2 linked regions of the Diceros bicornis minor genome follow. The protein of the gene in region 2 interacts with the protein of the main gene of each other region in a pairwise test. Links are inferred from orthologs where the notes say so. Each region holds a gene or a part of one and is shown on either strand. Other genes may lie near its edges.

What was found.
Region 1: the proteins of IQUB (region 2) and TMCC2 interact in a two-hybrid assay, tested with the Homo sapiens proteins (2 studies listed by BioGRID and IntAct). The two-hybrid records come from large-scale screens. The link is inferred for Diceros bicornis minor from reciprocal best matches to the Homo sapiens genes IQUB and TMCC2.

What each region holds. Positions count from the first base shown.
Region 1 is NC_080743.1:100,626,866-100,634,511, forward strand, and holds the start of TMCC2 (transmembrane and coiled-coil domains protein 2), read right to left. Parts: upstream 3,071-7,646; 5' UTR 2,606-3,070; coding exon 2,399-2,605; intron 1,641-2,398; exon of another isoform or gene 1,335-1,640; intron 1-1,334.
Region 2 is NC_080742.1:73,359,634-73,367,824, forward strand, and holds the start of IQUB (IQ and ubiquitin-like domain-containing protein), read right to left. Parts: upstream 3,167-8,191; 5' UTR 3,075-3,166; intron 1-3,074. UniProt on the Homo sapiens protein: Adapter protein that anchors the radial spoke 1 (RS1) complex to the A microtubule of outer doublet microtubules in axonemes. The triple radial spokes (RS1, RS2 and RS3) are required to modulate beating of the sperm flagellum.

The sequences.
Region 1 (7,646 bases), on a different chromosome or scaffold from region 2:
AGACCACAGGAGCCCCTGAAACATCTGGCTGTCACCAGTTAGGGCATCATTCAGATCTCTTTGGCAAAGACTAAAATTCTCTCCTCCCCTCGCCCTCAACCTCCATGGAGGTGCTTCAGACAAACCTCTTATTTTCTCGCTCTTTTCTCAGGATGATTTCCTCCAGCGCACTTAATCCATCATAATGTCTGGAGCTGGCACAAGAAAATAGAAGTGGGACTAAGGAACCAAAAGTTCCTATCTCCAAAGTTTAAAATGAAAACAAAAGCAAGCCAGAACTGCTGGTCTCCCTAAGACAAATACAGGGGTGGGGTTACAGGGTGTTAAGGGGTAAAAATTACACTTGCCCGTTTCTGGTACCACCAACAAATCTAAAACAAGTCAGCTTCTACACAGTTTCAGAGCCAATGATGGAATTTTTCCATCACCAGAAAACAACTTTTCCAGCATTGGAAGACAAGTTTGGACACACTTCAATATTCCCCAGAAAAAGGCTCAGAAAAATTGAGTGATTTGCCTGAGATCACACAGCAAATCAAATTGCAATAGCCCCCAAGTTCACACCTGGTTCTGAAGTCCCTACTCTGTAAAAATGTGATAAAGTGGACAGAGATAAACAGGAAAAGGCCCTGTTTGTTGTTATATCTACCCCAACCAGAATGAGGGTGTCACCAAAAAGAAAAAAAAAGAGAGAGAGAGAGATGATATCAGAAGGTGGAGATGAACGAGTTTCTCAAAGCAGCTTTGTCTTCAGAGACAAAGACACCAGAGTCCCCACACCACACCACAACCAGCCTACCTTCCCTCATGAAGACAGACGGGGGAAACAAATGGAATCGACAGTTCCCAGTGCCAGCCTGAGCTGGAGAGTGGGGGGGTTTCCAAGGCTGCTTCTCACGGACTCAGAGTGAGGATCCCACCTGGTCAAGGAATCAGGGTTTGCTGGCCAGACTCATCTGGATCAGCTCAGAATGCAGCCGAAGTCTGCAGCAAAAGGCTGGTCCCCTCCCCACGTCAGCATTAAGAGCACCCCTTTCTCTTGACCATCTCATTTAAAACAGGAACCACACCTCCTGACCACACAGGGCGGGCTCAGAGGCAACAGCTGGGCACCAACGACTCCCTATGCCTGACTCAAGTGCAAGCTTCCTAAGCAGAGCTACCCCACGAAACTCATCTTTAGACCCAGGCTAGCCCCAAACCTCTGAAAGGGGCAGCAGCAGAACCAGAAGTCAGATTCAATTTTGAAAAGTACACCCAAGGAGCTAGCTATCCCCCGTCACCCTCCCCAAGGAACACAGACAGGTAACACACACAGGTAAGAGCACACTCACCTGCGCTCTGACTTCCTGACTCTGAGCTGCTCAGGCCAAACGAGGAATGTCATTGGCTTATTCGGGTTAGCTCCTTAGTGGCTGCTGCCATAGGATACAGGCTTTTTTTAACGGAGTCCTCTCGCTCCCCTAGCCCAGAACTTGCACCCTCTCCGGAGAAAATCTCCCCAAGGCATCAATCTCCAAGGCATCTAAGTTCCTTCCTTGGGCTGACATCTCGCTCAGCCCCGTGGCGAGCCGGCTTGAGAAGCCCGAGCCTGCAGTCCCTGTGGCAGCTCCAGCAAAGGTGCATTATTTATGTTGGTGCTGTTTTAATTAATAGAGAGATACAGTCAATACAGCTCAACGATAGTCTCAGCAACCTCAGGCCGGAAAATAAAGGACTCCCAGCCGCACATGATTGGCTCTTTCAGATTCTGGTTCTAACTGCTGCCTCAGCCTGTGTGCAACTTGACCGAGGCCCCAAACCAGGCCAAGCACGGCTTGGCCACCTGTCAGTTCTCCACCCTGGGGGGTTGGTTGAGCAGGCAGGCCTCGATCTCCAAGCACTAGCTTAACCTCTGGCTCCACCTAACGGCAAGAAATCCACAGTCCCCTTTCACAGATGGACAAACTGAGCTTCATCCAGGAAGGTCTCAAAAGGAGGCAACTATTCGGCAAAGGAAACTAATGGTCCTCTGCTTGGCCTCGCAGGCAGCACTTTTCTTACCCTGCCATCTTACAGGAGGGAAAGTGATGTCAACTTTTCAGTTAGCATCTTGGGTTTCTCCAGCCCTTTGTCTGCGAATAGCACTTCACACACATTATTCAAACAATGTCGAATGGGTGAGTCACTAGAACGTCTGCTGAATAATGAAGAACAAACACAGAGGCCTGAAATGGAGCTGAAAGACAGAGGCACAAATGGTACCTGACGTCCAGCCCAGGCTTCTTGCCCAACATCCGTCATCCTCTCTGACCTTTGCCTGGCTTCCCCATCACTTTTATCCTGTTAAAGCACTTCTGCGTGGGGCGGGGAAAGCTAAGTCGCCGACTGGGCTTGGCAGGGGAAGGTCTGCGCTCACCTTTAAATCAGGAGGCTTGCTTCGAGGACCTGGGTTGGGCGCCGCGGCAGCGCCCACATCTGAAGTTGGCCCGCCAGCGGAGTTAGCACCCGCGGCCTCCCCAGGCCGGAGGTCTGCGCCCGGCAGGTGGCAAGCGACATCTTCCAGCCCAGCTCCATCCTCCTCGCCCTGCTGTTGCTGCAGCTCGTCCGATTTGCACCTCTTCATGGTGTATGTGGGTCGGCAAGGGGAATCTGTCCTTCCAGCGCGCCGTCTTGAGCTAGACCGCACCCCCTCTTACACTCAGAAACGAGGCCCGGGATCTAAATTATGATCGAGGAGTCGGCGGATCACAATTTCTTGAATTAAAAAATAAATATTTTTAAAGGAGGGTGAGGGAGGGGCGAGGAGGGGGAGCCTTGGTTACAGCTTAGAAGAGTTCGTTACCACCTGGGGAGCCGAGGCAGGTCACAGTAGAGACTGGGCAGCAGGAGTCCTTGGGCAGTCATTGGAGCGCGAGGAGGAAAACAGCCCCCGGCCCCCAAACTTTCTGCTCCAGGGCATGCGCAGGGCGAAGGGGAGCTGGGCGGCAGAGAGCATCCATCCCGGCTGGCCGGGCTGCTGAGAGAGGCAGGGCATGGGGCAGCCGGCTGGGCAGGTCCTTTTCGGCCGCCCTCGGCGCCGGCTGCGGCCCCCGGCCCTGCCGCTGGCCTCCGCCCCTCATGGGCTGGCCGCGGAGCCCGCAGCGCGCCCCGCGCCCTCCCCCCCGCGCGCGCCCTCCCCCCCGCGCGCGCCCTGCTCCCCTACCGCCGCGCCGCCTGCTGCAAAGCCGCGGCCGCGGCCCGAGCCAGCGGCGAGCGCGCAACCTACCCCGCCCGGTGCCTCCGCCCGCCAGGGGGAAGGCGAGGCAAGGAGAGAGTGACAACTGCAACGGGCCAATGGGAAGCCCAGAGGGCTGAGGGGGCGTCGCGCGGCCACGTTTTTAGGGTTGGTTGCACTGTGCAATACCCCAGGAGAGGTCTGGAGGGCTTTGATGTTGCTGGTGCGTTTTGCCGTTGCAGAGAGCGGACTGCGGAGTAGAAGTGGGGGCGGCGGGCCACCGGAGATGCGGCCCTAGCACATGCGTGAGGGATCCTCCCAGGAGAGACTCCCTCGGGATTTCCCCCACCCACCCGTTGTATTTGGCTGGGAGAGGGCGCAGTACGGGATGCTCGTCATCACTGCTTTTTTGCCCTAACTTCACGTTATGTTTCATATCCCTTCAATGAGGAAGACACTGATCCCCTCTAGCATACCTGGTCTGAAACACAAACCTAAGCCTACATTCAGAGCCAAAGGAAACGGGGTGTTCTGCCTCATCGCCCCTTCCCTCGCTTTAAGTAATTATCTCACGTTGAGTGTTAGCTTTATGCTCAGAAATGATAACGTATTTCATATTGGAACACAGTAATGTGTGTGCGAGTTCCTTGCAAACTGTGAAGCAGCTTTTAAATAAGAAGGGGTATTAATGGCAGGAGGTTGAAACACATGGAAGAGAAGGAAAGGAATGCAATCTCTTTTTCCCATAAATCTCAGCCAAACTGAGCGGAGTAATCTGGAGGCAGAAGAGAGCAAATATTGGGGGTTACCAAGATATGGAGCCTAGTAATAATAACCCCATTTGAGTGCCTGCTGTGTGCTTACTGTGGATACGATGGTTTTGCCCATCCCGCAGCCTGGACCAGTGATTCTCAAAATATAGTCCTGGGACCAGCAGCTTCAGCGTCACCTGGAAACGTGACAGAAATGCAAATTATTGGACACCAGCCAGACCTACTGAATCAGAAACAGTGGGGCCAGAAATCTGTTTTAATAGGCCTTCCAGGTAATTCTGATGCAAGCTAATATTTGAGAACCATTGCCCTAGACTGTAGTGAAGGGGCCACTCAGTCTGTGAGTCACAGTGATGATCTCTAAAGGATTTTACAGTTTACCAATCTCTTTTACACTCATCATGCCATTGTAGCTTCAGTTCAGTCCTACTAGTCTGAGTTTCCTGACTCTGTTCTGTCTTCTTCCCATCCCAACCACTCATTTTAATGTGTATCCTAGAAGAGTCTAAGTTGTTAGGAATTTATTTCAGTCAAGCAGTTTTCTAAACTAGGCAGCTCCATTTTTAGAAGATAGGAATTTACGATGGGCTGGGAATGTAAAACCACCTCTTACATCCACTACACAGTATCAGGCACAATGTGGAAACACAAAGCTACAAGCCTTTAGCATTTTCAATGGGGAGGGAAAGGCAGAATGCCAGTGAAAACCGTGGCAGGACTAGACAGAACCAGTAGGGGCACATTCCATGGCACAAGATGTCAGGCAGAGGATCTACTGATCCCTGCCTGACTTGCCCCAGAGAAGTGCATGGGCCTGACAGACCCTGGGCAAGTCTTGGGCGGAAAGCAGTGGCCAGCAAGTGGTGAGCACATGTAGATACGTGTTCATCACCTGACTCTAAGCTGAAGAAAAGCGGAGGGAGATGGTGTGAAGCTTTAAGGAAGCAGAGACCATTATCATTTTGAATTATGCCTCATTTCTATACTAGGTTGAAGTTGGTCTTAAGTTTTTTATATTATCATATACACATAACATGATGGCCAAATTTCCCACTTATGGCCATATTTAGCAGGGTGTAATGCAGGTCAACAAAAAAGTCTCTGATGTGTTTCATGAAATCAGCTAATACCTTACATTCTGTTTTGGAGAGGCAGTGTAGCATAGTGGTTAGGAGCTCAGACTCTGTGGCCAGACTGCTTGGGGACAGATCCTGGCTCTGCTCTCCACTGACCATGGGACTGGGGGCAAATTATCTAACCTCTTTATGCCCCAGGTCCTCATTTGAAAGTGGGGATACTGACAATACCTACCTTAGGGAGTTTGGGGTAATTTTTGTAAGCACTTGGACCTTGCCTGGCATAGAGTGGGGGCCATAGCTATCATCAGAGAGGTCACCCAGTTTCAAAAGGGTTGCACACTCCACTCCCATGGTTGTATCCTTGGGAGTTCAAATGTGTCTCAGCCATTTCTGACTTTCTCTGAGTGTCATATTGTAGAACAAATACGCTACTGCCAAAGAAGTTTGGGTGGAAAGTCTGTGTAGAGACCTGTGTGACCTACAACTGCCAGTTTGAAGCTGATGGAAAATTTTCATTAGCCATAGTAACTTCTTGAGTGCCTAAGATAAATAGAACTTGGAAGTATTTTGACTGATTGAAATTTTGTTTAAAGGACTGGCTCATTCTGTTGTTCTAGGCTTCTTTGGGAAAATATAGGCATACATGTTTTGATGTTCAAGATAAGAAAAATTTGCAGATTTACAAGGCAAGAGATTATATTTTGGATGTAGGAGTAGCATTTTCCATTCTGCTTTGGCACAACTAGTTAATTACATGTAAATAACATGGTCTAGAGGGAAGAACAGTGGTGTTTGTGTTAGAAAATCCACGTAAGAATCTGGTTCTGTCACTCCCTGTGTGTTCTTGGGCAACCATATCACTTACCTTCTCTCACCCTTGGTTTTTCTCATCTATGAATAGGGGCTAATAATATCTATCCTCACATGGGGTTATTGTAGGGATTAATCTAGATAACGCATGTGAAAACACTTAACACATAGTGTGTGCTCAGTAAACCTGAATAAAACAAAAGTAATTCACAAAGTTGGCCAAGCCCCCTGTCTACCACATGAGAAAGGCAGAACTATCCCTCTAAGCTTAATGTTCTTTGTGAAAGGAAATCCCAGTTAGGCTAATGAACGGGGGTGCTCCTGGTAGATTCAAATTTGCTACACCAGTAAGTGTATAAACAAGGAGATTAAAGAACAGGGTTATGGAATCCTGTTTCCTTGTCAACAGCCAGTTCATTTAGCTTTATAAACTGATGAAGCTTTAATTATAAAGGATAATGTGCCAAGAGCAACAGGTAAGCATAGAGTAGGGTTTTTTTTCTTTTTGTAAAAGTAATTAAGTCTGAGAAATGAAAGGCTTTTTTGCCAATAGCACAAGGCTTGTAGATTATCCAAGAAAATTCTGCTTCCTATTCAGTAGGAATTCTTTAAAAAAACATTTTAAACATCAAATGGGTAGGTAGTTGTCAGAGAGTTATTTTAAGATTTAATATACTAAGTAGAGCGCTTTACTTAGAAGGTAAAGTACTCTCTAGAGAGATTGGATATAATAATTTTTATCGCTGTATTTTGATACCAACGTCATTACAAACATTCCTTTGTTAATGTAATTTTCTTCTCTTTCTTTTGGAGATTTCCACTTCCACTCAGGGCTCTCCTTAAAGGAAATTGGGCTCCGTTGGATTAGGCATAAACTATGCAAATAATCATCAGGGAGATTGGCTGGATTGTTGATGACATCACAATCCCACCACCTAAGTACAGGCTTCTCATTGGCTGTTGTAAGAAGCAGGCAGGATCAGCAAGGCTCTGCATCACTCTGAGTTGGAGAAAGCTCTGAGTCTAAACTAAATTTTGTCCTGTTTTTTATTTAAAATGTACTCAGAAGCATTTTCCATATGTTATTGCATTTTTCTATGTTGTTTCATATACTATCACTTAGACATATGTCTATATTACTATATGTCTAACTAAACATTTTAAATGACTGCTTACCATTTATATATCATGGTTTATTTAACCACTATCCACCTTATTCTTACTTAGTTGTTTTAATTCTTGCCTTCAGAAATAAAATTGTAATTACTATATTTACTCAGAAATTGTATATATTATTTCCTGCATAGCATAGAATCTCTGATACCTAACTGGCAATGTTTTAAAGGAATAAACAAACCAAACAGATTGCCACTCTTGTGACCATTTCTCTCACAGCATCCCTAAGACCTGCATGGGAGATTCCAGTGCCTGTTTCATTTCTGGGACTGGTGAAGCTCCTATCTATAGCACAAAAAGCTGGAAGTTCCTCCTTCTCATTTTAGGTAGGATGCATATTCTTCATTCTGGGTGCCTGTTGCTCCTCAGTAATGGAGAAAAGTGGCAATAACCACGGCCATGAACAGAGAAGGCTTGTGAAGCATAAACTTAAACCCTGATTGTACGGCTCTGTGAGAAAGCCTGAGACTGGTAAAATGGCTGCTTTGTGTCCCTTCCCATCTCTATAGGGAATCCATACAAACCTCTGGACAATCTGTTACTTAAAGCTGAAAATGCTAGACCTTAAAAAATGCAAAAGAAAGAAAAGAAAGAGAAAACACCAGCTTTCCT
Region 2 (8,191 bases):
ATCAAGAACTTCTGCTATTCAAAAAACACAACTAGAAGAATAAAAAGACAAACCATAGACTGGGAGATAACTTTTTTGCAAAACTCATATCTGATAAAAGATTGTATCCAGAATATACAGGAAACTCTCAAAACTCAATAATAAGAAAAAAAATGAGTAAAGGATTTAAACAGACATGTCACCAAAGAATATAAACAGAAGGCAAATAAGCAGTGCCAGGACTAGGTGGAGGCAAAGGCAGCCCCCGTACTGCTCTACACTTGGACTTGCACCTGAGAAGAAATGCCTCCTGAAATTCTGGACCTGCTTGCCTCAATTGCCTCACTCTAGTCCCGGCCCTGAGAACAAGCACATGAAACGACGCTCAATATCATTAGTCATTAGAGAACGCAACTTCAAATCACAACGAGAGTCCGCTACACACCTATAAGAATAGTTAAAATATTTTTTTTAGGCCAACAATACCAAGTGCTGGTGAGCGTGAAGACAAGTGGAGCTCTTATACCCTGATAGTGGAAATGAAAATTGGTACAACATTGGGATAATTGTTTTCTTATAAAATTAAACATACATTATTTTATGTATGTTTACATAAAATGGGTCATACATTATCATATGACCCAGCAATCTGTGTCCTTTACCCAAGTGGCATGAAAAACTACATTCACAGAAAACCTGTACACAGAGGCTTATAAAGGCTTTGTTCTTAATCACTCAAGACTGGAAACAACACAAATGTTTCTTAGTTGAGGAATGGATATGTTACTGAACGCAAACACAGGTTTTTTTTACCAGCCACACAAGAGAGCCAAACAAAACCTGGAACGCCAGGCTTACGGCAAGGAAAGGGGTTTATTTTGGGTGACATCAGCAGGGAGGCCAGAGTCAGCCAGAGTCAGCCCTCAAATTCATCTCCTCGAAAGTTGGGACACAAGGGTTTTTAAAGGTTGTGAGGAATGCAGCAGCTTGTAGGGAGCAGGAGCCTGTGGCCTTGCTGGTTGGTACTCTCCCTCCAGCCTACATTTGGCCTTGTGAGGCTGCTTGCAGTGGGGAGGATGGCAAGATAAGGGAATCCAGAGGTGGGTGTCCTTGGTTGTCTGCCTCCATGATGGGTGATGGATTCTGGCACCCGGAAGCTGACCACCTGGGGTCTGGGAAGCTTCAGCTTCTTGATATACTCTGGATATCAGTTTCCCTGTAACAAACCTCAAGAACCCATAATTAGCCAAAACTTCAGTGTGAGCCCAGAGTGAGGCCACCTGGGCTTTTAACAATTTGTAACTTCTACTTACTGTGGTAGTGTGTGTGGGGTGGGGTGGGGTGGATACAAAGCTTAAAGAAACCAATATTTACATATGAATGTAACTAGAGAAGCAGGGAAGGGGATGGGTGTTTTGGGTTTTAACCCCATATATGCCGGGTTTAACGTAGGGGAACAGATATCAGGGCCAGCATCAGATACACATACTATTTTTACATTTATAAAATGGAATACTACTCACCAATAGAAAGGAATAAACTATTGATACACATAACAACATAGATGAATCTCAAATCAATTATGCTAAGTGAAGAAGCCAATTCTAAAGGCATGATTCAATTAAGTGAAAAAGCAAAGTTGTTGGTTCACAACCTTTAGAGTTCCTTGGGTGAAATCTGAAACTGCACCCTGTACATGGAGGGCAAGGAGAGTCTGAAGAAAGAGGCAAACCACTCTAGACTCGTAGGTGGCAGGTTTACTAAGCAAGGGGACTTACTATGAGGCTTGTCTTCCACAGCTGCGAGACAATAGATCTCTGCACCCACCCACCAGAATCTTGAGTTTATACAGAGGCCTTAACTGGGTTCAGCCACATATACAGTTCAGATGGTCTCAATAACACATTACTCTCTCAAGGCTCAGTCCTTGAAGCCCATCCTAGTACAGGAACAGTGGGTAGAAGGTACCCACATTCCCAGGACAAGGGAGGGGGTAAGGAGCCTCCCACTGCCCCACCCAGTTCATGGGTGAACCAGCAGTCACGTCCTCTGGATGACCTCCTCCAACAAAAGCACAGACCAGTATGTGCAATGTTACAGGTACAACTACGTATTTGTACACGCATAGAATACCTCTAGAAGGTAACTTTTTCTTTTTTTTTTTTTTTTTTTTTTGTGAGGAGATCAGCCCTGAGCTAACATCCGCCAATCCTCCTCTTTTTTTTGCTGAGGAAGACGGCCCTGGGCTAACATCGGTGCCCATCTTCCTCCACTTTATATGGGACGCCGCCACAGCATGGCCTACCAAGCAGTGCGTCGGTGCGCGCCCGGGATCCGAACCAGCAAACCCCGGGCCGCCGCAGCGGAGCGCGCGCACTTAACCGCTTGCGCCACCGGGCCGGCCCCGGTAACTTTTTCTTTTTATGTATTGTCTATCCAAACTTAAATGTTTTAATCTTAAAAAAATTGTTTAAAAAGAAAAAAGTCTCTATTATGATTGCATACAAAAAAAGTCCCCCTTTCACCTACCATGCATAATTTCATTGCTATATCTAGAATGTTCTAGATATCTAGTGTAAGTAGTAAGACGGGGATCCAGTTTTGCCTTCTACCAAATAGACCTGCTAAGTTTTTTAAGAGGCACAGCGAAGACCGTGGGTGGAGAGGAGTGAGAATGCCAGTGAAGAAGGTCGGAAAGCCCTCTGTTTACTCAAGACTGAAAATGCTCACCATGGATGGCTAAAGGTTTTCTAATGCCAGATCTGGGTTACACACACAGATGGTCTTGCTTCTGCACTATTACTGTGATAAGCATTCGGAGTGAGCGGTCCTCCAGGTACACCTCCTAGCTTGATGCTGTGGCTTCTGAATCCCAAATCAGAGAAAAGGAGACAGAAAAGGAACCAAGAAAGATGGGATGCTTTGCACGGTTTTTTTAAAGTAAAGGTGGAACACTCTCGAGCGGTCAAGCAGTCCCCAGAGCCCAGGGGATCAGCGCCCCGCACGGAGTCCTCGGAGTCTAGCGCCGCAGTCACTGGCTCAAGGCCGGTCTAAGCCTCGGGCCAGGAGAGGGCAGCCAGAACCTGTCCTCCTACCTGACTAAGAAACGCAGCTACTCGGGTCGAAGCGGTTTCTCCGGCTCTTAGGAAGCAGCGTCCCACTCGCCGGATTCTCTGTTGCCGGCCGTATCCTAGCAACGGCCCTGACGCCACCTCCTCCCAACCCGGCACAGCGGCCGCGAGAAGGGGCGGGGCCCGCGCTGAAAAGGAGCACGGCGGAGGGGAGGGGCGGAGCCGGGGGGCGAGGGCGGGGAGAAGAAAGGAGACAGAGGAGGGCGGGGCGAAGAAATGAGGCAGAGGAGGGCGGGGAGAGGTGGCGGAGAAGGTAGTACCTGCCTCTTACCTCGATTGGCAAGTGAATCGGTAGCTAACCACTTACCAAGATCCCTTTTACATTCGTAACAGGGTACGGTTCTCCAAACCAAACACTGATAGCAGTTTGCGCTTGTAGCTATAAAAAGTCAGGATTAGAGAAAATGTGAATACGAAGTAAGAGTTAAGACCTTGACAAAGGAGAACCCAGTTGTACAACAGTAGGTGCCTACTTGCTTTTGCTAAATTTAGAACTTGGCTCTTAGCTTCCTGGCAGCCAAAGAGAAAAGGCAGACAGGAGCTGTTAAATAACTCCTCTTTAAATCACGAGAAGCAAAGCTTTTGTTAATCACTGAATTATAAAGATATTTTTATATCACTATAAATTCTTTAAACTGAGAAGATTTTTAAAGACGCACATATTATTAGGGGAAAGAATCAATTATGTTCCTATTGTAAATGTAGTAGCACACTTTTTGTGGCTTCATAATAATAGCTAACATTTATTATTATTTGTTACTAAGCACTTAACTTATATTTCTAATTTAATCCTTACAGTGATCTTATTAAGGAAGAACTGTGATTAGCCCCATTTTACAAATGAGGAAACTCTCGTTTAGTGGGGTAGCCAGGATTAAACCCAAGCAGTCTGACTCCAGGCCCTCGATTTTAAACCACCATTCTATGCTACTGTGTTTAATTTAACACCCTTTGATATTTAAAAAGGATGTAAGATTAAGTAATAAAATTAAAATTTTTGTTATGTATAATACGGGTCCATTCCTCCTTCATAACGTTCAATGTCTTCACTCCTTTATACCTTTCCCCTGAAATTGCATTCTCATCTCCCCAATAACTTCCTAATGTCCAATGTCATTTTTTCAGTTTTCATTCCATTTTAAAAGACATTTCTTACTAGAACAATGTAAAATTTTTAATGTTCTCAGATAAAATTGGCTTTAATAATGGTTTTTTTAAAAAGCAAATGCATTTAAATGACTTCATGAATCCATATATTCATGGAGAACAGAGAAAAGGGGGAAAAAGGGAATACAGATAACCACTAGGGTTAGTCTTTCACGGGTGAGCCAGGTGTGATTGGAGGTTTACAGACAAGTTCTTCCAAACACTCCCCCACTCCCATCTCCAAAATCATAATGTATCTTAAATTTTACTAGTAATGAGAATTCCATTGGTTTTAAACACTTACTTTTCTGGGTTTCCTCTTTAAAATTTATCATTCACTGTCATCCGTAGTAGGGACTGTAAAAAAACTAGATTTAGGCATAGAGGCAGGAGATGGAGGGAAGAAACCCAGTGGTAGAGAACTTCAAGTACTTCCCAGCATTAAATGTGACTTGATACCCACTATATGTTCACATTTTATTTATAGTTTGCTATGGAGATGATCTTGTACAACTTAGTCTTACAATATGAGCCTAACTTAATTGGTAGGCTTCCCAGGTAGTCTATGCAGGTTGGAAAGGTTATTAACACATCCAAATCACATATGCATACGTTTACACACACAAATATATAGTTGTTTCGTTCTACAAAATCAATGTAAATGCAAGCTGAAAACAACCAATAGGAAAAAGACTCTCAGTTCTGAAAGTAAAAAAGTAATTTTAAAATATCATTTTCCATTTTACTTTTCATGATAAACTTATGCATTTTCTCAGGATTTATTGACCAAAATGACTTATCTTTATTTCTCATGAAACATCTACCTTTATTTATCTCAGCATTTATTTATATAATAAACATTTCTTTTAATGTGCTTTTATTTTTACAAAGATGCCACCTAGTGGCTTTATGAAATCAAGCATTTCAAAATATTTCCCATTGTTACCTCAGGCTAAAATGTATTTTGATATAAATGAATGAATTAGAAAAAAATTAGAAGAATAATGTAGAAAACCAAAGACTTGAAAATTATGCTTTGGAATTATCTATATGGATTAAATTTGTTTTACAATACCTCTGTGAGATCGTTAAGAGACTGGAAATACAGAACCATAGTCTCTTTTCTGAAACCTTAAGGGACAGATGTGTTTGAAATTCAGAATTTTTCAGATTTTTGAAAGGTAATATGGGCATATACTATATATTCTGTAACACCTTCAGTGGATCTGGAGAAGTTGTCCAGAATCAAACACATTAATACTTCTGTGGCAAAATATATCCATATTCACATTAAGTGGGATAAAGACCACAAGTAGCCTTATGTCAATTCAGGTCAGATTTTGCTTCCAAATGAGTTATGAAAAAACTTCCCTTTGCAAACATTTTTGGAGTTTGGAATTTAGATAGGGAATTGTGGACCTGTTTTACCCTGAGAAATAGAATCAACTCTCCTGTTATAGAGAAAAGAGAGTAAAATGAAATATTATCATAAAATAGTAATGTTTATCTTTAGAAATGCCTAAAAGGTTCACCTGAAAAAAAAAAAAGAAAGATCATGAGAAATTCCAAAAAAGAATCTCTGCAATGCTTTTCATTTACAGAGTCATATACAGAAAGAAGCTAATCCACCATAAATTACATTTAAGCACACTCCAAAAACTAGTTGCTAATATAAACCTAAAGATCACTTTGAAAATTCATTATTAGCCATGCATGGCAGCTAAATTTATGAGTTCTATAGCACATTCAAAAAAATTTTTTAACCTCGGTTTTCTGTTTCTTTTTCGTTTCTATGTGTGATTTGCCATGTTCCCTTTCCCCGGCTCCTATCTCTATGGAAGCATGTGTTGAGATGGCACCATCCGCAGCCAGGATCCCTTGTGTGACTCTTCTGAGCACTGCCAACCCTGATTAGACATGTAATATGAATAAGAAACAAACTTTTGTTAAGACTTTGGGATTTAGGGGTAGTCTATGCTAATTCACTACATTCCCTCACTAACTAGAGTTTTGGTTTATTACCTCTAAATAAAGACTTTCAAATAAATTTCTTTAGTCCCCGTCAATAACTCTAATCCCATATCACATTCCCAGTTTGATTTCTTGTAAATTCTATTTAAAATAAACTTCATCCTCCTCTAAACTAGACTTCTATCTTCTCATTTACTTTTTTCCCCAAAAGTATTACTGTTATTGTAGCATAGGCTGCAATCCCATTGAGTACTGAATTTTAAAGGAAATTCTGCTCTCAGATGCAAATTACTCATGGTATGTTCAGTGAATTGGTTCAGTGACTCTACTTTACCCTAGACCCCTGAACACACTTGCACAGGAGGTTTCTTCAACTTCTGTTTATATAACCATGGAGGCTGGGAAGAAAAAAAGGCTATTAGCCTATATGTGGGAATTTTCTTATATAGAATATTGCTGATTTTCTCCTTTTGAAAGAGAAAACGTGAGGGTAGCATCTGCCTTCTGGTGATTAAGAGGCCTGATATAGATAACTGGGGAAATGGCACACAAGCTCTGAAGTCCTCTCTGCAGTAGGAGAACACGTAAGCAAGGTCCTGCAAGACCTCAAGATCTTGGCTTCTGAGAATAGTGAAACTGATCTCTCAGACTTTATGGGAGAGTTCCTAAATAAACAGAACATAGACGATCTGGAATATCGTCTTGGCTGTCAAAGGACTTAGAAGAGCTGGCCTAGCGGGAAGGCCTGTTTGAAAAGCCTGCTGAAGCATCAGGTAAAGAGACTTAACTTCTGAAAGCAACACAGCAAGTCTTCCCATCGCAGTGGTCCCAAAGCCAGCTGCTTAAGATTCCTGATCTTCTCCATTTGACAGAAGACCGCTTTCCTTTTTATCTAGTATCCTAATCCTCATTGTTGTGTGCGCAAATAAATCTGCTTTGCATTGTAACAACAAAAAGCTCCATTAGCTTCACTTTTACTGCTCTTTAAGATTAGAAAAGGAAATAAGACAAAAGTAAGCTCCTTTTCTTCCATCCTCCAATGCTGAGGGAAAGGTGGGGGTGGAATAATGGAGAAGGAAAGGACACAATGAAACCTGAGGCCTGGTGGCACATGATGGCTGCCACTGCTGCATCATATTCTATTCAGATGACAGACTACTTCTTTTGCCTAGGACAGTCATGGTTTATACCTGTTATCCTTATGAAATTATTAATACCTTTCACTCTCAAAATCATTACAGGTTGAATGAAAAATTATAGGGTTATCCTAGATATAAGCCATTTTCATTCTAAAAGAATGCCCATAAATTTCAATATTCTGCACTCAGTCCACAGACAGGAGAAAGAGGGCATCAAATTTGGGGCCATTTTCTTGTTTGCAAAGCTCAAATTGATTAGCTTCTTTTTCTTTTGAAGTTTCTTTCAGTTTCTTTTCTTTTCTTTTGGAATACAGTGATTAAGTTGAATGAAACAAATGAAGAGCCTAGGAAGAATTGAAATGAGCCATTCTGAAAATTACTCAAATTAGTCTAGAAGCCATTCAGCAACACTGAAGATCTTTAAATAGAAGAATCATCTGCAAAGTGATCAGGGAAGCTTAATCTGGAAGTTTACAGGACACAACAGGAAAACATTTGAAGGAGTGAAAACATTTGAAGGAGTAAAAACAATCAGGTGTAAGGTTGTACGGGCAGTAGGAATGGCAGTAAACGTAAAAGAATGCTGGACCACATCGCAATGCCTTTTAGATACCTACCCCATTAACATTACCTGCCTGTGACCCATATGAGGATTTTTGCACAAAATGAAATCCTATATACTACTTCTGTTCACATTTGTTCTTTACAGGTACTTTGACAGAAAAAATCAAGAAGGCACGATCTAGGTTCTTTAGGTGCAGCCCATACAGTTCAGGCAGGAGTGACAGCATCCTAAGCATATTCAGAAAGAATATAATCAGGGGC